Linked DNA regions of Nothobranchius furzeri. The protein of the gene in region 7 purifies or fractionates together with the protein of the main gene of each other region. This does not show direct contact. Links are inferred from orthologs where the notes say so. Each region holds a gene or a part of one and is shown on either strand. Other genes may lie near its edges. The genes, in order: gemin2, gemin5, snrpe, gemin4, ago2, snrnp70 and ddx20.

Region 1 (4,166 bases), on a different chromosome or scaffold from region 7:
ATCGGAATATTTAAAGGAATCTTTGCTCGTTCAATAACCAAATTTACACCATTCTGTGTTTCATTTCAAAGAAGAGTCAGGTTTAAAAAGTTAAGAATTTATAACGAACAATTTAAAGATGACAATTTATAACAGCTTTGATATTAAAACTTGGTATTAAAAGCAAACCTGTGTCTGGATGAAAGCTAAAATGAAATGCGTGTGTTGGATGTGTGACTGGAATCTCAGAAGGTTTCTTTCAGAGAGAAACGCGTTCTGGGTGAAAGAGTTTGTTTTGCAGCTAACTAAGTTGTTTCTTAGAGATGACAGCATCAGACGCAATCTGTGTTCTACCTCACCCATCAGGCGACCCTCTGTGTGGATCCGGAGGTCAAGGAAGGATGTTGTCAGCCTCTGGGTACTCGGTCCGGTAGGGAAGGCGCGAGTGGTACCGACTCTCTGGTCCAAGAGTTGCCGCTGGCACACAGGTGTTGAGTTTGCGTCTTAACTCTGAAGGAGTTTTGTGTCAGCTGGTGCAGGTGGCGTTTATTCGGAGCGATTCTATCAGCGTGACAGAACAGCTTAGTGGAGGCTTCGGGCGGCCGACCCTTGTCCTCTGGGACTCTCGTGCCACGGAGAGGTTTTGGTTGGTTCAGAACTGTCAGCTTGAACTGAGGAGTTTTGGGTTTTATTAAAACTCAGAACACGCCCTCTCAGAGATAGAAAGCTTTGGTTATGGAGCAAAGACATGTGAGGTGGTTACCTTTACCCTGAATTCAGTGTCCTGCATGGTGTGTATAAGTGTACATGACCTTCTTTACACTGGTAAACATTACTGATTATCATAAATAATAATTATTAACCAAAGAATAATAATTCATTTCAGTAATTAAATACATTTATAATGAACCGTGATGATTATTTATGAACCTTGTAATAAACAGTGAAAAGAGTTTATTAAAAATGATTATTTTAAATCTTGAAGTGTCCTTCATCTTAGGATGGAACAGCAGACAGATTAAAGGCAGTCAGATTAAAGATGGTTCTAGAAGACTGTGCGTCTCCTGTGATGGATAATCTGTGGACAGAAGTTCAGCCAGGACAGCGTGACCTAGCTGGGGAAGTGTGACCTTTGGGTCACAAATATGGCCATTCATGTCGCTACATGTATGCAGTGTGTAAAACTGTTCCTACGTGCAGATCTGTGCATAAGTTTGTTTGATGAATGAGGGCCCTGGAGTTCTAACAATTTATTTTCGTGCGAAAATTTAAAAAACTATATTTCCACTAGCATTAGATTTGTTGTCAACCAGCTGGAGACGAGAAGCAAACTCACCAGCTGTGGAACAAACTCTCGCTCTTCAAACCAGCTGATCAGAACATCTAACAACATGAGAACTGTGGACTGAGACAAAAATATTAAGACTGTTAAACTGGCTAAAAACAACATGGATGTCATCGTAGACCCCCGTTTACCTGGTTTAGTCTGCTTACGATGCTCAGGAAGGGAGGGAAGCCAATCTAGACCCAAACAAACCATCAGTGAGACTTCACTTCCTTGGTCTCATGAAGGTGCCACAGAATTTTCATGAGTGGCGGATCATCAAAGGATTAAATAAATACACTTTATCTGTTTAGATTGTTTGCTTTTGTGGGAGAAGTAGAATGTGGAAACATCTCAGCTTTGATCGATTTAAATCAGGTAAACTCATTCTGAGGAGTAAGCGCTCACAAAGGCAATAAGGTGTAAACAGTTGTATAACCTTGCCGTAGTCCAATGCTGGTTCTTGGTGTGCATCCGTCGGGCCGGATGAAGTTCCCTGATAAACGTTCTCCCCTAAACAAAACCTCTTCCAGCCCTCCTCATCGGTCAGCCTCGGCTGTAAGACACCAGCGTCAAGCTTGCATAAACCAAACCTCCAGTGTGATGCTGCATGACAAGATTCTTACAGGTGCTTCAAATCCACCTTAACATGGGATTTCTGTCTCCCCTTGAAAGAATGCTGATTTCGGTTTGAGTAGTGAATAAAAATCTCACCATCTGCACGTTGTCATCCAGAATTTGGCTCCTCCAGTGTTGCCTGTTCTTGGTGATGCTCTGAGAAACAAAAGTGACTAAAGGACACTGTCCAGTGTGGACATGTTCGTAACGTGTGTTACTGTGTGGACATGTTCGTAACGTGTGTTACTGTGTGGACATGTTCGTAACGTGTGTTACTGTGAAGTCTCACCTGTCTGACGTCAGAGAAGTTACTGACTTGCTGCTGTTGCCACCTGAGGCTGGGGGAGAAGCCCTGAGGAGCAGCATGACATCCTGCTACCTGGAACCAAAACATGTTAAACATGTGGTGTGTGTGTGTGTGTGTGTGTGTGTGTGTGTGTGTGTGTGTGTGTGTGTGTGTGTGTGTGTGTCACTTACCGACACATTAACAGTTTGCTTCTTCAGTTTTGTGGGATCGATCTGAGCAACGACCACCTCCGGGCATAAAGAGGCCTCCAACCTAATGAAACACCAAACTTATAAAGCTCCGTGGTCGAACATGGTTCTGATTCTCGAGACGGTTCGGCTCGAACATACTGGACCTGTCGGAGGTACTCCTGGGGGTTTCTGGGGGTTCCACTCAAGTCCAGGTTTCCGCTCCCGCCTCCGGTCTCCAGCGGCAGGAGCCTCGGCATTAACTCCTCCACGTCCGACTTCATGTTCTAATAAAGTAAAAGAACAGCGGAACCGAATCAGGTAATGAAAAACACGCAAGTTTCACTACAGCACAGTCGCCATCTTCTTCTTCTTCTGGTGTTTTATTGGCGGTTGGCGAACAACGAATGGTGCATTACCGCCACCAACTGGTGTGGAGTGTGGTCTGGAACAGCGCTCATAAAACAAAATCAAACACGGGAAAGAAAGAACAAAAAAATACATATATATACACACACATACATACACATATATATACAAATACATATATACATCAAATTCTCCCAAACATCCTTATCTCTTTTAAAAACTGAAATAAAATCAGAAAACAGTCGCTTTTTGAATTCTGTCGGTCTAGTTTCACTTTGATCTGTCTAAGATTTTGAATCAATGTCCTTCTTCCTGCCTGATACTTCCGACATTGTAATATAACATGAACTATAGTTTCTTCTTCTCCACAATAATCGCATTTCCCTGTATTATGTTTCCCCATCATGAATAACGTATTGTTTAACCCAGTATGTCCAAACCTCAGTCTAGAAATGATCACCGCCTCTCTCCTACTCCTTCCAGTGTTTCTTATTTCTCCTACTCTTCTTTGAATTTTATACAACCATCTTCCCCTCCTTTCCTCCTCCCATTGTTTTTGCCATTTTTTCTTCATTTCTCGCCTTTTTATGCTCTTCATCTCTTTCTGACAAAATCGAACATCTAACTGAACCGAAGTATTTATTGTAGCTTCCTTAGCCATCTTATCGACTCCTTCATTTCCACTGATTCCACAACGAGCTGGAATCCATAAAAAATGTACTTTAAGTCCCATCGTGTTTATTCTATAAAGTGTTTGCTGAATCTCTAGGAGTATGTCTGGTCTGCTTCCTGAATGGCTGCACGTTAAACTGGTTAATGATGAGCTGGAGTCTGAACAAATAACTGAGAATAATGGTCTGTTTTCTTCCACCCATCGAACTGCTAACAGGATTGCGAGAATCTGTATAAATTTTTACATAGTTATAATAGTGATCGATATAATCCTGTGCTGTATGTGAGTTTAGTATGAAAGACTTATCCATATTCTTTCTCTCTAATAATGATAAATCAACAGACGCCTCAGGAAGAATCCATGGCGGAACAGCAGGTAATGGAACTCTTTGACTGATTGTAAACCGATCTCATTTAAGTTCTACTGGTTTTTTGATCATCACCCATCCAAAACTTGTTGTTTCCTTCTTTTCTTTCTCCCAGCAAGGTTTTGGTATGTCTCGTGTTGGATGATCTTCTTCCTGACCCTGAAGATTTGCCCAATAATTTAAAGCTATTCGTTCTCGTCTGATTGCTATTGGCATCTCACCCGTCTCTACCTGTAACGCTGCTATTGGGGTTGTTTTAAATGCTCCAGTACAGAGTCTCTGTGCCTGATTCTGGATAGAATTTAATTTTGAAAGAGTAGTTTTTGCTGCTGAATTATATGCCACACACCCATAATCTAATA
Region 2 (3,500 bases), on a different chromosome or scaffold from region 7:
CTGTTGTACATTAAACTGTTTTGTATTTTAATTGTAAACTCTTTGTTTGTCCTGTTCTTTATGGAGCGGGTCGGGCTCTGCTCTAGAACTCAAGAAACAAACGGTTTTCATTTTCATCAGTGGTTCTCCTTCCTGTTGGAGGGAACGGCTGAAATCAACCCTCTGGAGTCCGGGTTCGTTACTAAAGTTCTTTATTTGACAGCAGCGGCGCATGACGAGCTCCGATCAGGAGCAGAGTCTCCGCATGGCCTTCAGAACGCTGCGGCTGCTTCCGTGTTTACGGAGCATTTCTTTGGCCTCCTCCTGGAGAACGTCGGACACGGATGACGAAGACCGGCTGAGATGAAGGAGAACAAGGCAACATTCCACCACATCTGGGCGAGGGAACATCTGGAAAGCAAAAATACCAGAAAGAACTTAGTCGGCAAAAAATGAACGATGTTTAGTAAACGTCCGTCCGGAGTTAAAGCAGGACGAGGAAACTCGTTTTCACCGCTTTGCTTTAGCCTCATGAAGCTTTAACTCCTGATCAGCAGCTGGAGACGTGTGTGTGTGTGTGTGTGTGTGTGTGTGTGTGTGTGTGTGTGTGTGTGTGTGTGTGTGTGTGTGTGTGTGTGTGTGTGTGTGTGTGTGTGTGTGTGTGTGTGTGTGTGTGTGTGTGTGTGTGTGTGTGTGTGTGTGTGTGTGTGTGTTTTTTACCTTGATGGATTCGGGCAGGTCCGACAGCTCCTTCTGATATTTGGACATCTTTGTGGACAAAGACAGAAACGTCTCCTGGTTTTCCGAACTGAACAGAGCACAAAGGTCAAATTAAAAGTCAGGCACCAGATTAGCTCTGGGGACATTTCGTGTGTGGGTGTGTGTGAGAGAGAGAGAAATCTGTCTTCTCGATCCCCAGTGAGTCGTGGAGGATGGCTGCTTATACTGAGCCAGGATTCTCTGGAGGTTTCTTCCTGTTAAACGGGAGTTTTCCTCTCCACTGTCGCTAAATGTTTGCTTAGCATGAGGATTGCCGTATAGTCGCTAACAGTCAGTGACTTGATGCAACCTGCTGGGTTCCTTATATAGGAAACATTATTTCTGATTGGCTTAATGAACTGACCTGAATTGGAATGTTTATTATGTGAAGGTCCTCGAGACGACTCTTGTCGTGATTTGGCGCTTTATAAATAAACTTGAACTTGTTAATTCTGTAATCTGAGTTTTTGTTTAATAATCTGAATAAACAACCAGATTAGTTGTGAGATCTAATTAGATCTAATAATTGGACAAATTGAGAGACACTGGTGTTAAACAGCCTCACCGCTGCTCCGCATCAGCACCGCTCGGACCGTCTGATAAGGGACTTTGGTCCTGTTGGATCCCAGAGTCCAGCTGACTCCCCAGGACGCGGTTGTGCTGCAGAACCATGGCGGCCAGCTGGTCCTGGATCTCCTTCACAGATCTGTGAGCAGCCTGACTGATGGCGTGCGGCTCCGACAGAAGGACAGACACATCAAAGTCCAGTTCCTCCGAATCTGGGTTCTCCAGCTGGTCTTCTGGCTGTTCAGAAGGAAGTCCGTTCTGGACGTCTTGTCTGCCCGCCGAGTCTCTCCACCAGAACCGGTACAGACGGTGGTAGGAGACCATCGCCTGCAGGCTGCTGGCCGCTGCACTGGATGCTTCTGTGGTGGGATGAAGAGTTTTGGAATGTCTCCTGGAGAAAACCCGGATGTCTCCTGGAAAACAAAACGGCTCGGTTTGATTAAAGAGTAAAAATGGAGAAGGTAGCTTCTGACCCGGTCTCTGGTGAGCACACGGGTCCAAAAGGATGAATCAGTGGTTTTGGGTTATGGTTGCAGATCACCACCAGCAGATGGCTGTGGTAGGCCACACACACACACACACACACACACACACACCCACACACACACACACACACACACAGAATTATGGGTTTCTGATCATCTGGAGCTGAATGTGAATGGAAAGGTCCGAATGGGCTCGGTACCGTCGGGGAACAGCAGCCTGCAGAACTCTGCAGAGACACAGAAGTGTCCCTCGTCTCGGAGCCAGGACGCCGCCCGCCACAGCTCCTCCAACAGCTGCTGGCCGTCGTCCACCAACCAGCTCAGCAGCGCCCGGGTCAGGTGGACCGAGCAGTACAGCAGAACCTGACGATAGAGACACATGCACTTCAGCTGATTTAAAGAATGGAAAGTTTGTTGTTTTGGACCGTGCCGGGCCAGACTGGACCTGTCTGAGGGGGATGCTGGTGCTGGGTGTTGGACTCTCCACCCTCCTCAGGTCCTGCAGCAGAACATCTGCGCTGTCGGCTCCAACACCGAACTCCTCCTCCCACACATCAGTGACCCGGTCCAGAAAGAGGGTGGATCTCTGACCTGGCGATGCCCACGGATGGCTGGAGGCGCCGGGAGCCAGAGGGAAGACCTCGGAGCTGTCCAGCAGCGCCGCCAGCAGCTCAGCCACACACAGGTGGATCCTGTGGACCTGAACAGAACCGGGGTCAAACAGCATCTTTACCTGAAACGACCCGCTAAGGTTCTGGTTGGGTTCTCACCAGAAGGCCCGGCTGTGAGCCCAGAACATCCTGCGCTCCGACCCAGTCGTGAGCAGCAGCCAGGTCTCTGGCACATCTCAGAGCCAGCGACTGGGCCAGAGCCTCCTCTCCGGAGATCCGGGCCAGGCTGGCGGCCGTCCTCAGAGACGGAACGTCGTTCTTTCTGGAGACGACTTTGGCTGCATCGAAACCACAGCCAGCAGCGAGGTAACTGGACCGGAACCAGAAGAACCCGTTAGTTCACTAAAGCAGATGCTCTACATAAGTTCTGAAGGTTCTGACCATTTAGCAGCAGCAGACAAATGTCCGTCTCTCTCCAACACAGCGGCCCAAGACGTGTACAGGTTCTTCAGAACCACTTCATCTGCCGGCAGCCGGGCCAGAACCAGAGCGATCGCCTCTCTGACACACAGAACCGCTCCGTTAGCATCCGACAAACATCAGAACCACTCAGTTCTACCTGGGTTCCTACAGGTGAACCCGTCTGGTCCAGCGCTTCAGAACCTGTAGAGCTTGTTGGACTCCAGCAGCGCCACAGCCTGGTACGGTTTGTTGACGGAGAGCAGGTGAGACGCTGCCTTCAGGTACTGCTCCTGCAGACACAGCTGCTTCACAAAGGCCTCCACCGTCCGGCGCCACACCTCAAAGCCAGCTGCAACAGCAGGAAGAAGAAAGTGACACGATGTTCTGACACTTGACTCGGGTCTTTAGCTCACACGGGCAGGACCAGAATAAACACGAATCATCTGACATCCTGGTTCTGGGGCAGAGGCTTAAACAGCCTCAGTTTGGAGAAATACAGGTGCTGGCCAGTAAATTAGAATATCATCAAAAGGTTGAAAATATTTCAGTAATTCCATTCAAAACGTGAAACTTGTACATTATATTCATGCAATGCACACAGACCAATGTATTTCCAATGTTCATTACATTTAAATTT
Region 3 (3,986 bases), on a different chromosome or scaffold from region 7:
ATAATAAATGTCCTGAGTGCTGCCGTCTCCTCCTCTGGCCATTATTTCAGCTTTAGCTTAAAGAAAGTTTTGGTTGTAAACAACAAAGTGCGCATGTGCCGCCGGCAACTTCAGCAGATGATACGGTGGCTGGTAAGGGTCACCGCGCCTACACCGCAGCCACGGTAATCCACCGAGATAATATAGTTTTTTTTAAAAACAAGACGGTTATTACTATTGTCAACTTTTTTACCGGGGTTTACCGCTACACCGGTTACCGTGACAACCCTAGCCCTGACACACTTTCATATTCTCATGGTGCAGCTGTGTTCTCCAGAGATCAAGGACTAGGACCCAAATGAGGCTGTAATGCAGCAAAAACGTAAAAGAACCTGCTGAACTTTTCCCGCAGGACAAGTGTAAAGTTTTCATCCTACAACGAACAATACGGCACGGAGGAAGTTCAATATTTAATATGAGTTTTAGAGAAACTCTGGGCCGTGTGAGGTGAGTTTTTAAAGTTAAAAAAATCCTTTCACAGGCCCTGAAAACACTCTGAAAAACAGCCCATCCACGTGGGTATCCAGCAGCAGATAACCTATCAGGCATCCCTGTTGCATATGGAGGTAAGGAAGAATGAAACAAAGCCATTACTTACGATTATGCAGCCCTCTATCCTCATGTTGACCTGCTCATACAGCCACACCTGGATCCGTGAGCGCTGGGGACAGGCAGGGAACAACTTAGAGGTTCTTCATCTAAATAAAACCATTTCAAACTAAAGGGATAGCAACTTACATTTTGAAGGTATCTGAAGATAAGGTTCTGAAGGTAGAGTCAAGGAAAACCAACGCTCAGCAGTAACAGTACACGCACGTCTGTAGCCTACATTTGTACTCAGTTGTAGTGTTACCTTTATTCATTGCCATTAAAAGTAACTTATTACATTTTAAAGTAACAGAGTTACACTCAGCAGCTGCCAACATAAAAATCAGTACATAGGATTTGGTAACCATGTCCTGAAAATAAATGACAGCGGGGCTGGGACTGATGGTCGGACATCTCGGGCCGTGCCTTCATTCAGGTTTCACTTACAGGTTCCACTCCAAACAATCTCAATGTAACCGACCCGGCACAGAGGAGTTCTGCTCGTGTTCGGGCCAATGCCACTGACCGACTCTACTTTAGTTAGACCCAAACAAACATGTTTACACTTATTGTTATTATAAACCACAAAGGCTGAGGAAGACGAGGCTGAAGTTGGCTTCAGATCCGGGAAACCGCTAAAGGGCAATTACGCCCAATTTTTCTCTGACCATCTTTAATCTGCTCTGGCTGGAAAACTACAACACCTGCACTCTTCAAACCTGAACTGGATTATTCTAGACTAATAGCAGATTGCAAAAAACATCATTTGTGATTTGTAAAACCTTTTTCTGATTTGTGAAACTTCAAGAAACCAGATTTTAGCACGTTTTCTGCATCTAGACCACACTGAACAGCCATAGTTTCAAAACAACAATACCTAGACATTTCAAACCTGTACTGGATTATTCTGCACTGGTAGCAGAACAATTAAAATCAACTCTGATATTTGTGAAAGCTTTACTTAAAAGGCCATTTAATACCTTTTTGTGGTCCCTGGTTTCACAGCTCTGTTTCAAATATGACAGATGTTTAATTCAGGCTTTAAAAGTACTTTTCAGTAGAGGAGCCCTTAAGGAGCTCATGTATCTAACAAGGTATACTTAAGATTCATTATCGCGTGTGCACTAGGGGCACTTCGTTAGAAGGATTCAGCTAAACAGCTCACTCTAAATTCTAATAATCTGATAGCTGCTGACTGTATATCTTGTAGAAATTAAATATTAAAATCCAAATTGGTAATGCGACCCGTGTTTCACCCGATAATAAAATGTTAAACATGAGAAATGACCAGAGCCTAACTGTTTACAAAGCCCATTAAGATCAGGATTAAACTGATCAGCTATTAAGTGCTGCAGATAAACAGACTTTAACTTTTCATGTAAAATACCAAAAATAAAATTAAAACTCAGAACTTCACCGTCCAACTTCAATGTTTAGTTCATCCAATTCACATGTGATGAATCATGGACTATTTAAACTATGTTCGAGTAACCTGCCATTAGTCTAGGATATTGCAGTACAGGGCTGAAGAGCGCAGGTGGTGTCGTTTTCGAGCTAGAGCAGATTAAAGGTGGTCAGAGTAGAGAATAATTTGCCCTTTAGCCATTTCCCGAAGAGGTCGGAGGGCAGCTGTACAATGGCGTCCTCAGAACCTTTTCGATTACAACTGCAAAGTCCTACAAAGTACTCTGGATAACCGATGCTTCAGGAGATCAGAAGCTCCCATCACCTCCAGCGGTACAGCTAACCGGAGCCATTAGCATTAGCGGCGCTAGTTTTGCTGCTAAGTTCGCCTCGGGGCCGTTTCTTTTTCTCCGACATGATGCGGAACACGTGCATCATCTCATTAATTTTCATAAACACCAGAATCACACAGTTGGAACGGAATCCGCGCGTTCGTTCAGCGAACTGGGCCACCGGTTAGCCAGGCTGCTAAACACCTAGCTCCACTCACGCGTTCTCCATCATACAAAGGATACGATGGGCTGCACCATGACCTTCTGCACCTTCTGTCCTTGTCCTCTGTACGCCATCTCTCCAGCAAAACACCAACGAAATGTGTTCGGTAAACAAAAACTGCACCTTCTGGACCAAATGCACCTTAACGTTTGACCCGCGTTGAGAGCTAGCTACAATGGCAGGTTTCCGCGCGAGCAGGATCTTTAACCGGTCTGATTAACCGATTTTTAACAAACAGCAACGGAACAGCGCCTCCGCAGGACGGAGGACTCTACTGCAGCAGCCTGTTCGTTTTAGCACACCCTCAGGTGCCAGACATCAGAGCATGGAGGGAAAAAAGCAGGTTTCATTCAAACCCCATCAGACTTCTGACTTCATACCGTACCAATTTATTTATTTCATTTAAAAGCAGCATGGGAGCTGACCAAATGCGCATAACAATACAGTAACAATAAAACTCATAAAAACACCAATAAATCAGCCAATAAAAGCAGATAAAAACTACAATCAAACACACAATAAAAGAGAACTTTAAAAAGTCACAATCTGAAAGCCAAATCATAGAAGAGCGTCTTCAGCCGTGTCTTGGATGATGACTGATGGATAGTGAGTGACAAAGGCTCGCTTCCTCTTCGGGAGTAGCAGGCAGTGAGCAGGCCGCACTGCATCAAAGGTCTCAGAAAAAAGGTCTTGTAGCCTGACTAAACTTTTCCTGAGCTCCTTTTGTCTGCCAGACTTTTTTCTGAGACCTTTAGATCTGATTACGTAGTCAGAAGTCTGATGGGTTTGGGTTTTTTCTCTGTGGTCTGGATGGCTTTTGTGTCCCCAGAGGTGTTGTTCCAGGATTAGATCCGATCACGTGATTGGCTTGTTGAGTTGAGCTCATACCTCCTGGGGGTCAAAACAAAGTTGTATGCGTATATTTTGTAGTGTGTCGTCAGTCTGGGGCTTTTGGCCTCTAGATGGGGCTGTGTCACTTTCCAGATTTTACAGTCCATTTGTAAATATGAGACTTGGTTAATAGATGGACAAAAACAGAGTTAATTCCTCATCTTGATGTGTATAAAGCCCCTCTTTTCCCAGGAAGAAGGCCTTTAAATCCTGAATCTGACCATTGCTGGACAAAGCCGTTCCCCGTGATATTTATAGGTGGTTTTATAAAAAACGGGGTCTGCCATTTCTCTGTTGTGCACAGTAAACCTGTAACATGATGAGCCGAGTCAAGGAACACAGCCTTGAGTAGTTCACAATAGTATTAATAACATGCAACACAGGCTTGTCCCTGCCTCACAGAGGAGAAAGTGGGTTGATAATTAGCAGCCGAGGACAGACAAGTCTCTGCGAGTGGGGGGGAAGGCAAGGACCCTTGGTGGTGCAGGCCAAGGTGTCGCCTTTCAGGA
Region 4 (4,172 bases), on a different chromosome or scaffold from region 7:
TCAGCACCGACTCCAGCAGCTCCTTGGTGTCCATGGAGCTCAGGTGGTCGCTGTCCTCCGACGACCGCTCCCAGCACCTAACAGAGATCAGATGAGTAGAAGCCCAACAACAACCGCTGCACACACACACACACACGGGATCATACACACATGAGAGTCTGGTTGTACTGCTGGGCCAGAATATAGAGGAGGGGGAAGGGAGAGCAGTCCAACACCCAGTGAGGGGAGGGGGCTACTTCCTGGACACCCACAGCCAAAGCAGCGTGGAGGAGCTGCAGACTCAGTTCTGCATCGCAGGACTCTTCAGCTGCAGAAACACAGATGGGACAGCAGCAGAATGTGACGAGCGTTTACAGATCACACACAGATGAGATTAAAGCCAGCATGGACCCCGACCTGCAGCTGAGAGGCGAGGCAGGACCAGTGTGTTGACCACCTCCTGTGGAGACAAGAACCTCTGTGTCTCTTGCTCTCCCTGGAGCGTCGGGCCCGGCGCCATGAGCAGAGACAGGAACTTGAGGAGCTGCTCCTTTTCACAGGCGGACAGTGGCTTGCCTCTGACCGCCGTCTGTAAACACCTACAGAACAGACTACCACGCCCTCCAGCTTCCTGCTGCTCCACATCGTTTCCGTTTGCCTCATCCTCCCCTCCCCTCCGTCCGCGGAGTCCAGGCAGCTGCTGCAGGATCTTTGCCATGAGGCTGAAGGCTCCCCTGTTGAAAACGGCGGCGTGGCAGCAGGACCTTAAAGCCGCCTCTGGGCTCTGAAAGGCCACTCGAGCTACCAGAGAGGCTGCTGTGGTCAGGCGGCCCTGGGACACTGCTGCTGAGGCCCCGCCCCCTCCCTGGATAAGGCAGTTAAAGGCCATGTTCAGCTCTTGCTCAAAGCCGTCTGCCACAGCCGAGGGGACAGAGCAGCCAAAGAAGCCCCTGCTGGAGCGGCTCGGTACTGCAGCGAGGACCTTGTTCTGGTTTTCTAACGAAAGAGCAGAGAAGACATCTGCAGCCGTTTTAATGGCTCTCCTGCACCAGGTGGTGTTCACGTTCCCACGCTGCAGGCGACTCACGAGGGTGGAGGAGAGGCTGATGAGGGTGTTGGGCTGCGTGAAGGCCGTGTGGTTCTTCTCCAGGCAGTCCACCCACAGCTCTTCATGAGTCCAGGACAACTGGCTGGCAAACAGCGCAGCAAACTCCTCACAGTCCTCCAGGCGGTGACTGATGACGGTGGCAGCGACCTGAGCCTGCACCTGAGGGGGGGTCTCTACGGCAGGAAGAGACAGTGAACTCAGCAGACCTCTGAGTGTGCTCTTCTCAGTCACATGCTCAGATGTTCCCGTTTCTTCTAGAGCTGCCAGGACTCTCTGGACGCTCTGCTGCAGCAGGAACGCGGAGCAGCCAGGAGCGCTCAGGAGATCCTGTTCCAGCCAGAATTCTGTGAGTTCTGCTACGATCTTCAAAGCTTGGCTCAGCGTCATCCTGCTGGGCTGAAAAGGAGCTGGTGAGTGAGCAGCACGCAGGTCTCTCAGAGCCTCCTGAAGGAGTTTGGGGCTCCACGCCTGCGTCTGTCCTCTGGTGTCAACAAGCCTACAGAGGATGAGCAACTTCTCTTCAACTGGAAGCACAACCTCTGGGTCTGTTAGGAAGGATGTGTAAAGAGCGTCGAGGCAGACTAACAGGGACTGCAGGCACAAATCTGTAGTAGATACTTGATCTTTCATGTTCTTAAGAGCATGGAGGAGAACGTGCAGAACGTCTGTGTTTGCTGACGATGCAGGAAGGTCCAGCTTTAAGCGTTTTGCAGCCTGAGGCGAGACACTGGGACAATCGGAGGACAGGCGTGCAAACTGGCTGACAAACATCATCTCTAAGTCTTTGTCTTCCTGCGTCTGACATTTGTCTCTGCCTTTCCACAGCTCCCACCACACCTCCAACAGAAAGCAGACGTCTTCAGGACTGGGATCCGTCCTCAGATGCTCTGCCAGCGTTTGCAGCTCGGTGCAGATCTGCTGCTGAGGCAGACGCAGGAGCAAGCGGGCAAAGACCGGCGCAGCTGAGAGTGACTTCACCAGCTCCAGCAGAACAGCCCGGCTTACGTCAGGGAGGCCGTTCTGGAGGCAGAAGAAAGGGTTGTCCCTCCACCCCTTCTCCACATCTTCCTCAGCCTCACTGCTCATCAGCTTCAACCACACCACACAAACAACCTTCTTCTGCCAGGCCAGAGCGCTCAGCCCACAGGTGTCTCTGAGGGCCTGCAGGATCGGGAGCTTCACACGACTCCAGTCCGCCTTCTGCATCAGGGACAGGGATGAGGGGAGGCACAGTTTGTCTGCCTGGAGGAAAGCTCCCTGGAGCACGGCGGAATCTGAAAAACAGGCAAGCAACAGGCTGAGACCCGAGCTGGGCCGAGATCAGCGTTATCCAGGTGTGTGTGTGTGTGTGTGTGTGTGTGTGTGTGTGTGTGTGTGTGTGCGTGTGTGTGTGTGTGTGTGTGTGTGTGTGTGTGTGTGTGTGTGTGTGTGTGAAGGGGGGGCAGGCTGCAGGTGAAGCAGGTCCAGAACGAACGACTGGCTAGGAGAGGGCTCTTCAAACCTGCAGCTTGCTGCTTCAGCCTGAGCGTTTAGCGCCATGTTCGTCTCTACCGACTGGAGACGAAGCTCGCGCAAGTTCACGAGACATGTCTAACATTAATAATTACCTTTGTCCATGGCTGCGGAGGCAGGAACATACACCCGCCCGCCTCGTGAACCAGTTCGTTACCAGGAAAGGCGCTTCCGGTTTCCAGCAGGAAGCCGGGCTGCTGTCAGGTGGCGAGGCGTCCCCACAGCGCCACCCCTGGATAGATACGGTACTGCAGCCGCATTAACCCAGCAAACCGCCAAACCTGCTTCACCTTGTTGTTATTGTTGTTGTTGTTGTTGTTTTCCTCGCCTTTTCTGTTGGATTGTTGACTGGTTTGTTTTTACTGTTGCGAGGTTTTGCGTTGTTGACTAGACACCGCGTTCACCAGTGCTGCCGCCAGACCGGAACACCGGTTCAGCCCTACGTGTGATGGTTTAAACGTTACTCGCTTTTAGTGACATTTAAAAGTGTTTTGCAGTATTTCTCCTTGTGAAACTGTCTCTGCTCGTCACGTGATGCAGCTGCATGCAAAGCAGGTTTTTTTTCGTTGTAAATGAAAGCGAAAGTGTTCTGAGAATAAATGTGCAGCTGAATGAAGCAGGAACAAGGATCAGTAGATCTGATGAATAACCATGGTTCCACCCTGCAGGATTCTTATTTACGGTTTTATCTGGACAGGTAAGTCTTCAGAAGGCTTGTATCCCTGCGAGTGTGGGGACAGTTTGTGTTTTTGGAGGAAGCCCACTCGGATCAGCTGCTTTGAGTTGTTGGTCTGTCTCCAGGGGTCTACTGTAGCCAGCAGATACTATGGCTGCCCTGTCACTTCACAGATGAACAGGTGATTATGAACAATGAAGGACATAGAGAGACCCAGCGGATCCCCAGAAATGCTGTGCTGCAGTTTGGTCAGACAGGAGAAGCTCCTGTAGATCTACGCACCATCACTTTTCAGGTCACAGGTAAGCCACCTGACACAGGTCACCATTACACACCTGACAACGGTTGCACCTTACTCTTCTGTGTTCTGCTGCAGGGTCCAAGGTGGACATGCGGCACTATGTGGAGGGAGTGGAGGCAGAACAGCTGGAGTGTGAGCTGCGTAGATACAGCACACAGGGCATCTATGTCCACTGGCCCAGTCAGAAGGCCAGGGAGTACAACCACTGGTTCTCCGTCTCTCTCAAACACAACCAGGGCCTTTTCACTGTGCTCGGCTTCCTCAGACACCCGTCTGACCAGCCTCCACCAGGAAAGCAGGACTACCTCAGCTGGGTTCCCATCACTGATGGACAGATGCTCACTACATCAGGTCAGTTAGTTTCACTCCATAATGCCAACAGCTCCAGTTCTGGTTCTTTGATGGTGTTTCTCTGTGTTCTGTCTTTGTCCATCTGGTCTCACAGTTGCCATGGTAATGAAAACAGAAACACCACTGGTGAAAACCAGCCTGAGATCTGAACAAAAGCTCCACTGCCAGTTTAGTGTGGACCACCGGGGAGCAAACACCACTGTGGAGTGGCACTGGCAACGCCGCGGGGAGAGGACCCGACTGTT
Region 5 (4,073 bases), on a different chromosome or scaffold from region 7:
AACTAGACATTTCTTTAATTTACTGGGAGTTTCAGTGGCCAGCACATTCAGTTATCCACACTGAGGTATTCCTATAAGCACAGCCAGGAAAATAAACAGGTTGTTATTATTATTATTAATGGGAGCTGATTATTCTAGAGGTCCTGTGATATCGGAGTGTGTCAGAACAGACACAGACTCCTTCACTGCCTTATCTCCACTCTCCAGTTCTGGTCATTCATACAAACACCCTTCGATGACCCTGATGCACCGAGCAGACGACCAGCTGACTGAAACACCAGTGACGTGCTTTCTCCCCCCAGGACTCTTACACCACAAAGAGAAGCATCTCAGAATTGTCTCTGGTGTCAATTTAATAGAAACATGTGGAGTTTTTATAAGATGTGCAGGGTATCTGCAGGTTTAAGGGAGCCAAATTTAGAAATTCACGAAAATTTTTATAGAAATAAAATAATCTTGTTTATTGGGTCTTTGGTAATTTAAGACCATTGGAAACTGGATTTAAGGATTATTTGTCATTTTTAAGGATTTTCAAGGCCTTAAATTTGGAAAAGTAAATTTAAGACTTTTTAAGGACCCGCGGATACCCTGGATGTGAGTAAACGGCTCACATGACATCAGCACTTTGCGTTTTGGCTGAACAAAGCTTAAATGACTACATCAGTATAAGACATACAAAGTCCTTCACAGAAAAAAAAATCAGCATTTCACAGGTATAAGCTCCAAAGCCCTGCTGAAATACTCTGTAGATAATTTAATAATCTAATCAGAAGTTAAACTGTGTAGAGTGCATCTCATTATGACAGAAAGGTGTAATATATATATATATATATTTATATATATATTTTTTTTTAATATATCATGTTTCTCCTGGGACCAGAGCTTAGAAGTAAGAAAGCTTACCAGAGCTTATGGACCCAGAAGAATGTGGCCTCTCCATAACCTCAGCACCTAGAGGGGATAAAATTATACGTTAGAAATGTTTAAGATCCAACTTGGACTCAAGTACTCTGTACTTAAACAAAAAAAAGCACCCAACACAAAACAGAAATCTAGTTTTACAGCATTAAATGCAAATAGAGTCAGAAATCTTTATAAAAAACCTGGAAAAAAGAAAAAAAATCTCCCATTTTAAATATTTTTTAATTCAGAACATCGTTAACTATTTCAGACGGTCTTTTATCACATCCCGGCCAGCACCATCGTCTGCAATGAAGTATGTCTAATCTACAAACACACAGACGGGATGAAACGAGCTGGTAATCTAGCATAAATGTAGCCACCCGTTCATAAGGAAACAGCCCAGAACTGATACAGTTCAGCTCATTGTTTAGTTTTATTTCAATAAGGCTCATGGAGAAGAACAAATGCCTGAAGGTATAGATGCAAATGAAATATGGCAGAGGTGATTATTTTCAGCCTCTGCATAAAAAAGTTAAACTGCTTATAAACTTTTCTCGTTAAATTTCTGCATTTTCCTTCCTACCTCAGCATTTAAGCAGATAACTAATCGCCATTATTCAACTGTTGATTATATATTTTTTAACCAATCCCAAGACTCCCCTGAAAATGAAGTTTTTAATCTCAATGGGACCTTCCTGGTTAAATAAAGAATAAATAAACTTAATTACCACCTGCCCTGCCAAAAAGAAACATTCTTAATGTCTTAATAAAATGTAGATGAAACATGTCTATATATATATATATATATATATATATATATATATATATATATATATATATATGTGTGTGTGTGTGTGTGTGTGTGTGTGTGTGTGTGTGTGTGTGTGTGTGTGTGTGTGTGTGTGTGTGTGTGTGTGTGTGTGAGAGTGAGAATGAGTTATATGACAGATGTTAATTTGAACCCAATCAAGCTAACTTGTTGTTGCCCATGAGCCAAACGTCATTAGTTATCCCCACTTTACTCTAACGAGCTTGTGGTTCAAAGCAGAAATCATCCCTTTTCCCAGAAATTATATTTATGATTTGCTGTATTTGTGTCGGATGTTAAAAATGTGGTCTTACGTGACAAACACATGCTTGCATTCTGGTTTTGTTTACATACATCGTCCCATCTTTGCTTAGGATGCGAGCAAAATTGCTCCAACTCTCGATTTTTTACAAATTTTGTGGGAAATGATGTAGAATGTAAATGAACTTAAACCTATTCATTTGACACATTTATGGTAACCATTTGTATGATTTGTGATTGAGATTAGGAAGCATGAGCTGCCGCTAAATGCTACTGTTAGCATGTGGCAGCTTTTAAAGAAAAAAGCAAATAAAACCCACCATGTGTGTTGAATATTATACAGTTTGTCGAGTGACTGCATTCCACCTCGTTTAAGGGCAGAGGAAGTTTACCAAGTTGGGGAAACGAGGTGCCGCTAAAGCTAACTTGGCTAATGCAGCTAAACTCGCTTTTGGTACTAACGCCTCCACTAAGTCGAGGATGCATCATTCGTTGAAGAACTTATTTTATAATAATAAGTTAATTAAAACAAAACCGGAGAATGTATCGGCAGTAGATTGATGCCGTTCTGGAAAGAAATCCATCATCCACTTAGTCGATGCTAATGGTTAGTAGCACTTACCTCCAGCTGAATACATTTTGTCGACTTTTTGAGCGTATGGTGGACGACCGGTACTCCACTTTTAGAAGACCAACCTCCGCCTAACCTCACACAGAACCTACAGACTTGGGTATTTCCAACAAACTAAGGTGAAGATAAAGAAGTTTAGTTAGCCAAGTGGTAAATATTGGAGTCTCTCATCCTCTGCACGACCCCATCCCCCCAACACAAAACGAGAGCAGAGACGAACGGAGGCATTGAAATCCCTGCGGGGCAAGAGAACTCGCTGTCGTCCACTTCCGCTGTTGGGCTTTCGTTCTCAAAACCGATCAAAGCTTCTGTTTTGTGTCATATTATCTGACATAGAATCATGATTTAATCAGTTTATTGGATTCACATGTCAGAAATGTAATTTGAATGAGCTAACTTTGAAACTGCACAAACATAAATGAAAATGTTAATGAATTACTCCTCACTATCAGACTGAAAAAAAGAGCTGCACGTTCAGGAATTCTAGTGTTTTTCTACTTGAATAAATAAGTTTTTCTGATACATCGTCTCTACCAATTTGTCGCTAACTCATTCAAACATCGCTCGTTATCTTTAACAGTGTTATTTGGCTCGATCATGGTGGAAAAGTTAATGCTCATGAATGGGGAGGTTTATCTTGCCAGCGGGAAGGTTCAGTGACATCAGACGCACGTTGCGCGCTCTTAGCGTCCATCCGAATCAAAAGCGAAAATTCGGAAAAACTATTCTTTCATTTTTCATCAGAGCTAAACTTTGATGCGACATCATTAAACTGATATCCGATGCGTATCATTTAAAAGTCACTAAAAAGAAAAAGTCACAGGAACAACTTAAAGACCGAAGAAGTATTTCCGGGGTAATAAAGCGGCTGAAATACACATTTTAGTTTGCTATGCATTAAAACATTTAATGTGATATGGGAAGCTTCAGCAATCTGAAATCAACTTGTTTGTGGTTTGCTTTTTATATTTTGATGGTGAAAATATTTAATTAAAACTTGCTTGGTGTAAAGTGCGCATGTCAGAAGTTGATTATGAATAAAACACTAAAATGATATGAGGAGAACTGATTACACAGACAGTATAGAGGTTCAGGGACTATTTATATGTGTTTGTTCTTTTTTCATGACGAGTTACACACACACACATGTTTATTAATTTTCAAAATGTCTAGTGACTATATCAAGCAGTCATTAGATGAGAGGTGGAGGACACCCTAGACGTGTCTCCATTCCGTCTCAGGGACACAGAGGGACAAATCACGTTGTTTTTGATGGGAAACAGGCTGTTTGGCTCCGTGTTATGATGTAGGTTCGGATGCACTCAAACTACGGTTTTTGGTAACAAAGGCAGACAAATTTACATTATGATGAACCAAAAAGGGTTTTTACATTTTGCAGCGGTTATCAGTCATGAAGTGTGATGTACATGATGCACATGCAGGTAATGTGGTCCTTTTACTGTGTCTAAA
Region 6 (3,500 bases), on a different chromosome or scaffold from region 7:
AATCAAATTCAAAAATACTTAATCAATCTCAGACCTGCTGTAGTAGCTCAGAATAAAAATAATAGTAAGTCATCAGAGAGTTGTATATTACAAAGATCAGCACATAGTGCGCCAGTAAAAAGTGTTTGAATCAGTAAAAAATAATGAATTGAGGAATTTAATGAATCGAACCATTCGATGATTTGTTTCAGCCCTACCCATCATACACACACAGGCCACACATACATACTGGTAAGCAAATGCAGGCGCACTGATACAACTAGGGTTGCAACAATGATATATTTTGGTGATACGATTGCAGTCTGAGAAATAGTCACATTATTTTACATGAATTGATTTCACATCTGTATTAACACATGTAAATCACACACACATTATTTAAATTATTGATAAAGGGCATGATTACATTGTATAAAGGTTTTGAACTCCTGAAATATTTATTGTTCCTTTTCAGAGGTTTTGCTTAGAAAAATTCACTCTACTACTGATTTGCAACGTTGATGTTTTACCTCCACAAATAAAAAGAAAGAAAACAAATCTTTTATGTAGCGCCTCTCAAGATAAAAATAACAAGCCTGGAGGAGTTTTGTTGTGTGGTGGAGTTGCTAATGGTTAGCTTCTACTAGCGGACACGATCTCTGCTGTTTGCTGGTCGCTAAACGAACAACAGCCTTTCCCGTCGTGAGTCAAGATGGTGAGTCCATGAATGATAGTGACAGTGTGACGTAGATCTGTCAGGATTTTCTAATCCTAGACTTTCACCGTCTGTTTTCTATCGGAAGCCAGTGTTTCCCCTACACAGGCTCAGGCGCCGCACCACGCCTAGAGATCCCCACACACAGACGCATGGAAGGGAAGCGTTCCGAGCGCATCGACTCTCCGCTGACAGCGACACGGTCCGCGAGCAATTGACATTGAGAAACACCCATGAATCCAAACAGTTTACAACGCTGATTCTGTCCACATAGCGGTTCCGACGTCTTTAACATATTCCTGTATCCTGCATCCTCTGAGATTTTAACGTCCCTTCTCCCAACTCTGCGACGCACGTTTGTTTACACGGTTTGTTTACACTGATCACGAGCCCCATTGTTTGAAAGGCACAGAGAGCTATCGGGATAAAACACCCACTGCTATTAGGTGGGTTCCTCTACAGACTGTTATGGTAGTCACACTAGAAGCTCTGCACCGACCCAACCAAGAAGCATAAACTCAGCTTTAGATAACAGTTGGTTCACTTTAGACCAAAACTGGATAAAAACTAAGAACCATCTTACCAAATGAGTTGTACCGTGACTCACCATGACCAGAATTGAAGACTAGCAATAAAAATGGACAGACCTCACAAAGCTAGTCATATGACAAAGTGGGATTCAACGAGTGTCGAGCAAAAGGCTCCATCAATGTTTGGTGTCCAGTCTGACCTTGAGCTTACCATCACAGTCCAACCAGCAGAGCGCCTCTTCCACAGAACTACAACACCTCTCAGTTAACAATGTGCCCTTCGACAAGCAAACATGTTCAGGTTCACAGATAAAACACACTCAGACCTCCGTTATTACGCTCCCCAGATAGATCACTCTGCCTCACCCTCCCACAAACCCAGGTTTTAACTAACCAACACATCAGACATGCCCAGCAAACACGCACGCACAACAGACTATGGCTTCATGCAAACGGTTCGCCTGTAAACTGTCATCTGCTGACTTGGATGGTATGACATCATCTGCCCCATCAGATGGTCCACCCAACAACTGTAGCTAAAAAGTTTTTAAAGTAAATTTAAATGAAAAAAGTCCCTTTTGTCAGAGATGACCCCATGAGTGTGCTGACATACAGAATGAGCTGGCTGCAGAGAGGTTGGTACTCACAGTGCATGTCCCGCTCATGCTCATACTCAATGAAAGCATAGCCGCGGGGCTTTGCCGTCTTCTTGTTGTAGACTATATAAATCTGGGAGACAGAAACATGAAGACATTGGTTAGCTCAACCATTCAGACCAACACCAAGAGCGGTGTCAGCCCGGTTCCCATAACAACACCATCCCACCTTTTATGTACGATTATGGTACTTACAGCTGAGGACATGAATGAATAAATACATTTTACTTAAGTGTCATGCACAACACGTGCCCAGTCCATAAAGGCTCATAAGACACTATTTACAAAAGAAGAAATGGACATACGCTTACAAAATCATTAGACACAACGGGATGAAGTACCTGTTGTCTAGGTTTTAACACTATATGTATTTATCAAAAAGCCAACTTCACATTTTGCCATTAAATGACCAAAATACATCAGGATTTTTACTCTGAATCTTTTCAAACGGACAATCGGAGACTATTGTTATACATCGGGACTATAAACAGGGAATGAAATTCATCTTCTAGAACATCTAAAATCACACAAACGCTGCTCCTCCTGTAACCCTTTGCATCGCCCCACTGCAATGGCGAGAGGCAGGACCCTCGTGCGCAACTGTGCACAAAGTGATTGTTGCCTATTTTTAGATTACAAGCAACATAAGGCTCTGTCATAAAATCACTTCTGAACTGAATATAAATTTTTAAGCACATCAAATTTCCACTGGTCTTTAAATTTAAACAAATGGTGGAGCTGTTGAAAGTTTGAGTTGTAAATGATTAAAAAATAAAAATGTACATTTATTAAAGGAAATTAGAGCAAAGATATCAGATTTGTCCCAGTTAGAAACCTTTCTGGTGAGGTCTGCCGTTTGACCAGACAGGGTTCCCACCCCATCACCCTCTAGGGCCACCTCAGTAATATACTTATGAACCCCTAATAAATATCTAATAGCTCTGTTCTGGACGAGGCTACATTCAGGTGCACCTGACAAATGACAGTACGTTTTCTATGAGGTGCAATCTTTCTTTAAAAAACCCTTTTTAATAAAACACTGGTAAATATCACTTATGGGACGCAACATCATATTAAAATCAGCCCACATTTTCACATGGGTGCATCCCTATGCAAATGCATTCTGCAGATCAGCCATGAACTCACTCGTTTGATGGGACCGTAGACTTCAAACTCACGACGAAGCTTGGACTCCGTAGTGTCATAGTTCTGGAGGAGAGACGGGGTTACACCCAGCATTAGCAGCGGTGACACACTCGTTCTAGAGTTAACACTAAGGACAGGTTTCATACTAACCACTCGGGCAACAAACAGCGTCTTGAACGCATCCCCTTGTGCATTTGGGTCATTATGGGGGTCCCCTGAAATCACACATACAACATAGCGTCAACATAAACCCTTGCACCACAGCACACATCTGATGTCCCACTCACAAAGCTTCAGTTCTGTCTCCAAAACCGTCTGGCGTCTCTCGATCTTTTCCCGCCTCTGAAAAACAGGACATAAAACTCTTGAGTCACAACAGGAAAACAAAAGGATGCGTGACATGATCCAGACCTGCCGCTGATGCGTTTTCTGAATGATGATCTGATGGGTGTCAAATATAGAAACGAGGGCTTC
Region 7 (3,937 bases):
ACTAAGACTTAAGTGGGATCTAACAGGGCCCAGACCAGCAACTGAACTTGCAAGTGCGGTGTTGTGTCCACAGGGGCGGTGATGGTCCAAGTGACATTTCATTAAACCTGTAACGGGTCATTTTAGCACATACTGGCTCAAGAAAATTATTTTAAAATATGAAAGAGTTGCATAGACTCCCTTTAAAGTGACGGTGTGTATTTTTCTAGCGATAGGGACAGTAGATACCTAAATCGTTGCAAACAATCGGTATTTTTGTGTTGGCGTAAGACTTTACCATTAGGGTCAAAAAGCCCTGGGGAGTGCAAACTTTAGCACAATACCAAGCACATCAGACTCCCTTTCATCACTGGCAACAAGCACATCTAAATGAATGAATGAATGAAAACTACTAATTCTCAAACAACATATTAAAGTATTTCTCTGTTGTCTATTTGACTATGTTTTTATTATTGTAATGACTTAAATAATCACACTTTACTCTTCATTTTAGTGCCATTTGTCAAATTAAACTGTTCTATTAATCGACCTTCCTTAGAAACCACAGTTTACCCTCCTCACCTGATATACAAGCCGCAGGTAGACCTTTGGAGGATAGGATGTCAGCCAGGTGTTGAGCTCTGTAGGTGAAATCCAGCACAGAAGCATCTCAGAGATGAATCTTAACTTACAAATCTGAATGTGTGTTTTTTTTTGTTAGTCTGTTTTAGTAATAATCAACAGCAGCTGTAACGAGGAAGAAGACCGTTAAAGCTGTAGTTACCTTGTGTGCAGGTTTGAAAACACTAAGGCTTGGTTGAAGGGGATTTTACTGAACAGCTCCAATAAATGCAGCACCTTCTCCTCAAAAATCTTGTGAGGTAGAGGATGGGAGGGCACCAGCTTGTAATACTGCTTTAGACCTGACACCAGGAATATATTAAAATTATACAGTGTAAAATAACCCATAATGGGTGGATTTCTTCTATGAAACTGCTTTCCCTTTAGCTTTCAGATCATTACCTTTCAGGCCCATGTCACTTGGATTCAGTCTGACAAAGGTGGGCTCATTCATGTAGCGGGTGAGGTACTGAGCAAGGGATTCTGGGTAGGTGGCAGAAAGTGCAAGCATCTGTTTGTTTACAGGCAGCGAGGAGAAGATCCAGCTGAGAGACAGCAGAAAGATGGGTGAAACTCAAATACAATCACTTCCGTGTTTGGATCTCAGCTGTTTGCAGCCTGGTGCTAAACATCAGTATAAAAAAAGAAACTAAGTCCAAATTACTTAATCTGTTCCTGGAAGCTTCCCTCCTCCAGCAGCTTGTCAGCCTCGTCCAGAACAAACAGCCTGATGCTGGCTGTAGACAGCATACCCAGTTCAATGAGCTGCTTGATGCGACCTGAGCGTGCAAAGCAAAAATGTTGTGACCAAACAAACGAGCAGCACGGTGATACAGCTCCATCCCTCCAGCCTCTTACCGGGAGAGCCCACAGCAATGTGACACTTCTTCAGATGGGCTTTGTCTTGACTCACAGGTCGGCCCCCGATAAAAACATGACACTCCAGGCCCTCCATGGCACAGCCAATGGCCATCACCACCGAGTGAATCTGTACAGCTATCTCACGCGTAGGGGCCAAAACAAGAACCTGCAGGAGGCAGAAAGACTGGTCTGTGTTAAAACTTCAAAATATCTTAATCATGAGATTAAGATATTCCAAACCAGAGTGTTTCTGATCATCTGCTGGTGGCAAATTGAAGTTTAGCAAAAAAGTAATTTACAATTGAAGCATAACTGAAATTCCCTCTTGATCTCATGCAACACTCACCTGAGTAGCTGGATTTTCAAGGACAAGGGAATCCAAGGCAATGGTGCAGAACACGCATGTCTTTCCTGTGCCAGACTTAGCTTGCACAATCAGATCTGAAACAGCAAATTTAAAAAAGTCAGACTCCAGACACACACAATCGTAGCTTAGATTTGAATTAATTGGGTGAAATCAATCAATCAATCAATCAAAATGGGCAGTTAATATGCTGCTTCATATCATGTGACCTAAAATTGGGATTTTTTTAAGTTTGGCAACTAATACCAAAACGTAGGCTCATATTAATGTGCGTCTGTTGAAATTATTCACTCATAACGTTTTTATTACATTTAAGAATTATTCCCTTGGGTGTAAAATTTAAATGAGGAGTGAAAATATTTATGCAAAGCTGCTAAAACTATAATCCACTGATCGAAATACAAAGTAACACCAACTGTTCTCTGTACACACTGAGCAGATGGGAGTTGGAACTAAAGCCTCAACAGTACAGTTCAGACATTAAGTTAATTCCCACACTAAAGTTGGTTCAGAGTGTTTCAGGCTACCATTGCGACATTATGTTTTGATTTAAATAAACAAGTAATTTCACGCGTTTCTGCAGTTTTCAGGTGTGACTCTTAGGTCACCTTCTGTTTGACAGAACGAAAATTAATTCAAACAACCTGATCGTGACAAGCTACAGCGACACACACACGTGTGGTCTAGCCTTTGCATCTGATCTCTGGACCCACCAAGTCCGCAGCGGCCGAGGGGGATCGCTTTGAGCTGGATCGGAGACGGTTTCTGGAAGCCAGCAGCGGACAGCCCCTCCAGAACAGCCGGAGACAGGAGCAGAGAGGTGAAGTCGATCCCCTCCGCCAGAAGCACGTCTTCGGTTCTCTTTCGGGTACTAATGTCGTGAGCGGCTTTCTTCAAGGAGGCAGCCATGATTGTTGTTCAGCAGCGGCCAAAGGAGAGCGACGTTAACAGCGCTTTAGAGCAGTGATTTGTTACACTGCTCTCTAGCGACAGGGAGGAGAGGTGCACTTGACTTGAAAGCGTGACAGTCAACCATCGACATTTATATACGCAGTCAACGCAGGATGAGCGCAGGGCCGGCTCTAGGTAATTTGGTGCCCAAGGCGAGACTGCCCATTAGACCTCCCCCCCCCCCCCGTGCCCACACGCCTCTCACCCAAACCCAAGTCCACCCACCCACCACACATTGGAAAAAGCAACTCCACAGTTATTCCTTAGTTACTAATTTTTTATTTTAAATATTCACACAGCAGCTCTTTAAAGTCAACAGCCTGAAGACTAAATGTAAGCTTGAAAGATAAGTAACCTGAGAATATTACAATAACAACTCAAAATGTTGTGCAAATGTCATGGGGGGGGGGGGGGGTGCAAAATCAAAAGCAGCATTAAACTGTGCAATCAAAAGGAAAACTCAAACATCAGTGTCATCATAAAGAAAGTTCTACTTTCCATTTTGTTCAACTGCTGTGACCAGTCAGCAGGATCCATGGGGCCAGCAGCTCATACATGTTCACAGACATCTGTTGAAGCTGATGATGTCTCTTCAGGCTGTTGGACTGGAGCACTGGAGTGCGCTGGTGTTGGGTTCTTCTGCTGTGAGAAAATAAACAAACACACACACACACACACACACACACACACACACACACACACACACACACACACACACACACACACACACACACACACACACACACACACACACACACACACACACACACACACAAAGCAACTTAACCCTCTGATGCATTAATTAAGAACAGTGCCACTTTCACATTCAATATTCCTCTGTCATGTGCAGTGATGCTTTTCATTATTTTTAATGTTACTGGACTTGATCGTATGATCAATGTAAACAGCTAGCGAGGGTCCGTCCGTGGACCGTGCGTGGCAGGAGAGGCAGTTAGCTAAAATTGTAACTCAAAAAGTTCCTTTGCCAAATTTATAAAGTCTACATACCAGGCACGTGCAGAGGGGGGTGCGGAGGGTGCTTGAGACCCTGCCCCTTTTGTCCGAAGTGCCCAAAGTGCCATTTTTCCGGTCGTTCGTCAGATTTTACCGTACAAAATTGTTATACTGTGATACAAATCGGGCACTAGGACCATGCGGAGG

What was found.
Region 1: the proteins of ddx20 (region 7) and gemin2 purify together in Homo sapiens (affinity purification with mass spectrometry; 6 studies listed by BioGRID and IntAct, counting the BioPlex papers as one, with this or other methods). This does not show direct contact. The link is inferred for Nothobranchius furzeri from reciprocal best matches to the Homo sapiens genes DDX20 and GEMIN2.
Region 2: the proteins of ddx20 (region 7) and gemin5 purify together in Homo sapiens (affinity purification with western blotting; 6 studies listed by BioGRID and IntAct, counting the BioPlex papers as one, with this or other methods). This does not show direct contact. The link is inferred for Nothobranchius furzeri from reciprocal best matches to the Homo sapiens genes DDX20 and GEMIN5.
Region 3: the proteins of ddx20 (region 7) and snrpe purify together in Homo sapiens (affinity purification with mass spectrometry; 4 studies listed by BioGRID and IntAct, counting the BioPlex papers as one, with this or other methods). This does not show direct contact. The link is inferred for Nothobranchius furzeri from reciprocal best matches to the Homo sapiens genes DDX20 and SNRPE.
Region 4: the proteins of ddx20 (region 7) and gemin4 purify together in Homo sapiens (co-immunoprecipitation; 7 studies listed by BioGRID and IntAct, counting the BioPlex papers as one, with this or other methods). This does not show direct contact. The link is inferred for Nothobranchius furzeri from reciprocal best matches to the Homo sapiens genes DDX20 and GEMIN4.
Region 5: the proteins of ddx20 (region 7) and ago2 purify together in Homo sapiens (affinity purification with western blotting; 3 studies listed by BioGRID). This does not show direct contact. The link is inferred for Nothobranchius furzeri from reciprocal best matches to the Homo sapiens genes DDX20 and AGO2.
Region 6: the proteins of ddx20 (region 7) and snrnp70 purify together in Homo sapiens (affinity purification with mass spectrometry; 4 studies listed by BioGRID and IntAct, counting the BioPlex papers as one, with this or other methods). This does not show direct contact. The link is inferred for Nothobranchius furzeri from reciprocal best matches to the Homo sapiens genes DDX20 and SNRNP70.

The regions. Positions count from the first base shown.
Region 1 is NC_091758.1:40,480,325-40,484,490, forward strand, and holds the start of gemin2 (gem-associated protein 2), read right to left. Parts: upstream 2,801-4,166; 5' UTR 2,680-2,800; coding exon 2,558-2,679; intron 2,481-2,557; coding exon 2,399-2,480; intron 2,301-2,398; coding exon 2,211-2,300; intron 2,105-2,210; coding exon 2,018-2,104; intron 1,860-2,017; coding exon 1,743-1,859; intron 1,501-1,742; coding exon 1,456-1,500; intron 1,385-1,455; coding exon 1,316-1,384; intron 1-1,315. UniProt on the Homo sapiens protein: The SMN complex catalyzes the assembly of small nuclear ribonucleoproteins (snRNPs), the building blocks of the spliceosome, and thereby plays an important role in the splicing of cellular pre-mRNAs.
Region 2 is NC_091750.1:72,369,291-72,372,790, reverse strand, and holds the end of gemin5 (gem-associated protein 5), read right to left. Parts: intron 3,213-3,500; coding exon 3,065-3,212; intron 2,963-3,064; coding exon 2,843-2,962; intron 2,772-2,842; coding exon 2,561-2,771; intron 2,491-2,560; coding exon 2,236-2,490; intron 2,154-2,235; coding exon 1,991-2,153; intron 1,719-1,990; coding exon 1,304-1,718; intron 788-1,303; coding exon 700-787; intron 391-699; coding exon 226-390; 3' UTR 175-225; downstream 1-174. UniProt on the Homo sapiens protein: The SMN complex catalyzes the assembly of small nuclear ribonucleoproteins (snRNPs), the building blocks of the spliceosome, and thereby plays an important role in the splicing of cellular pre-mRNAs.
Region 3 is NC_091743.1:2,209,477-2,213,462, reverse strand, and holds the start of snrpe (small nuclear ribonucleoprotein E), read right to left. Parts: upstream 2,801-3,986; 5' UTR 2,661-2,800; coding exon 2,607-2,660; intron 805-2,606; coding exon 778-804; intron 701-777; coding exon 638-700; intron 1-637. UniProt on the Homo sapiens protein: Plays a role in pre-mRNA splicing as a core component of the spliceosomal U1, U2, U4 and U5 small nuclear ribonucleoproteins (snRNPs), the building blocks of the spliceosome.
Region 4 is NC_091753.1:62,515,987-62,520,158, reverse strand, and holds the start of gemin4 (gem-associated protein 4), read right to left. Parts: upstream 2,801-4,172; 5' UTR 2,705-2,800; coding exon 2,695-2,704; intron 2,362-2,694; coding exon 397-2,361; intron 308-396; coding exon 151-307; intron 78-150; coding exon 1-77. Other genes in the region: dhrs13b.2 (tapasin-related protein), read left to right, coding at 3,251-3,296, 3,401-3,577, 3,652-3,927, 4,022-4,172. UniProt on the Homo sapiens protein: The SMN complex catalyzes the assembly of small nuclear ribonucleoproteins (snRNPs), the building blocks of the spliceosome, and thereby plays an important role in the splicing of cellular pre-mRNAs.
Region 5 is NC_091751.1:26,608,895-26,612,967, forward strand, and holds the start of ago2 (protein argonaute-2), read right to left. Parts: upstream 2,801-4,073; 5' UTR 2,611-2,800; coding exon 2,595-2,610; intron 952-2,594; coding exon 904-951; intron 1-903.
Region 6 is NC_091758.1:13,870,934-13,874,433, reverse strand, and holds part of snrnp70 (U1 small nuclear ribonucleoprotein 70 kDa), read right to left. Parts: intron 3,369-3,500; coding exon 3,314-3,368; intron 3,242-3,313; coding exon 3,177-3,241; intron 3,090-3,176; coding exon 3,027-3,089; intron 1,954-3,026; coding exon 1,872-1,953; intron 1-1,871. UniProt on the Homo sapiens protein: Component of the spliceosomal U1 snRNP, which is essential for recognition of the pre-mRNA 5' splice-site and the subsequent assembly of the spliceosome. SNRNP70 binds to the loop I region of U1-snRNA.
Region 7 is NC_091755.1:61,016,249-61,020,185, reverse strand, and holds the start of ddx20 (probable ATP-dependent RNA helicase DDX20), read right to left. Parts: upstream 2,801-3,937; 5' UTR 2,735-2,800; coding exon 2,539-2,734; intron 1,903-2,538; coding exon 1,808-1,902; intron 1,628-1,807; coding exon 1,459-1,627; intron 1,380-1,458; coding exon 1,265-1,379; intron 1,146-1,264; coding exon 1,003-1,145; intron 903-1,002; coding exon 764-902; intron 621-763; coding exon 562-620; intron 1-561.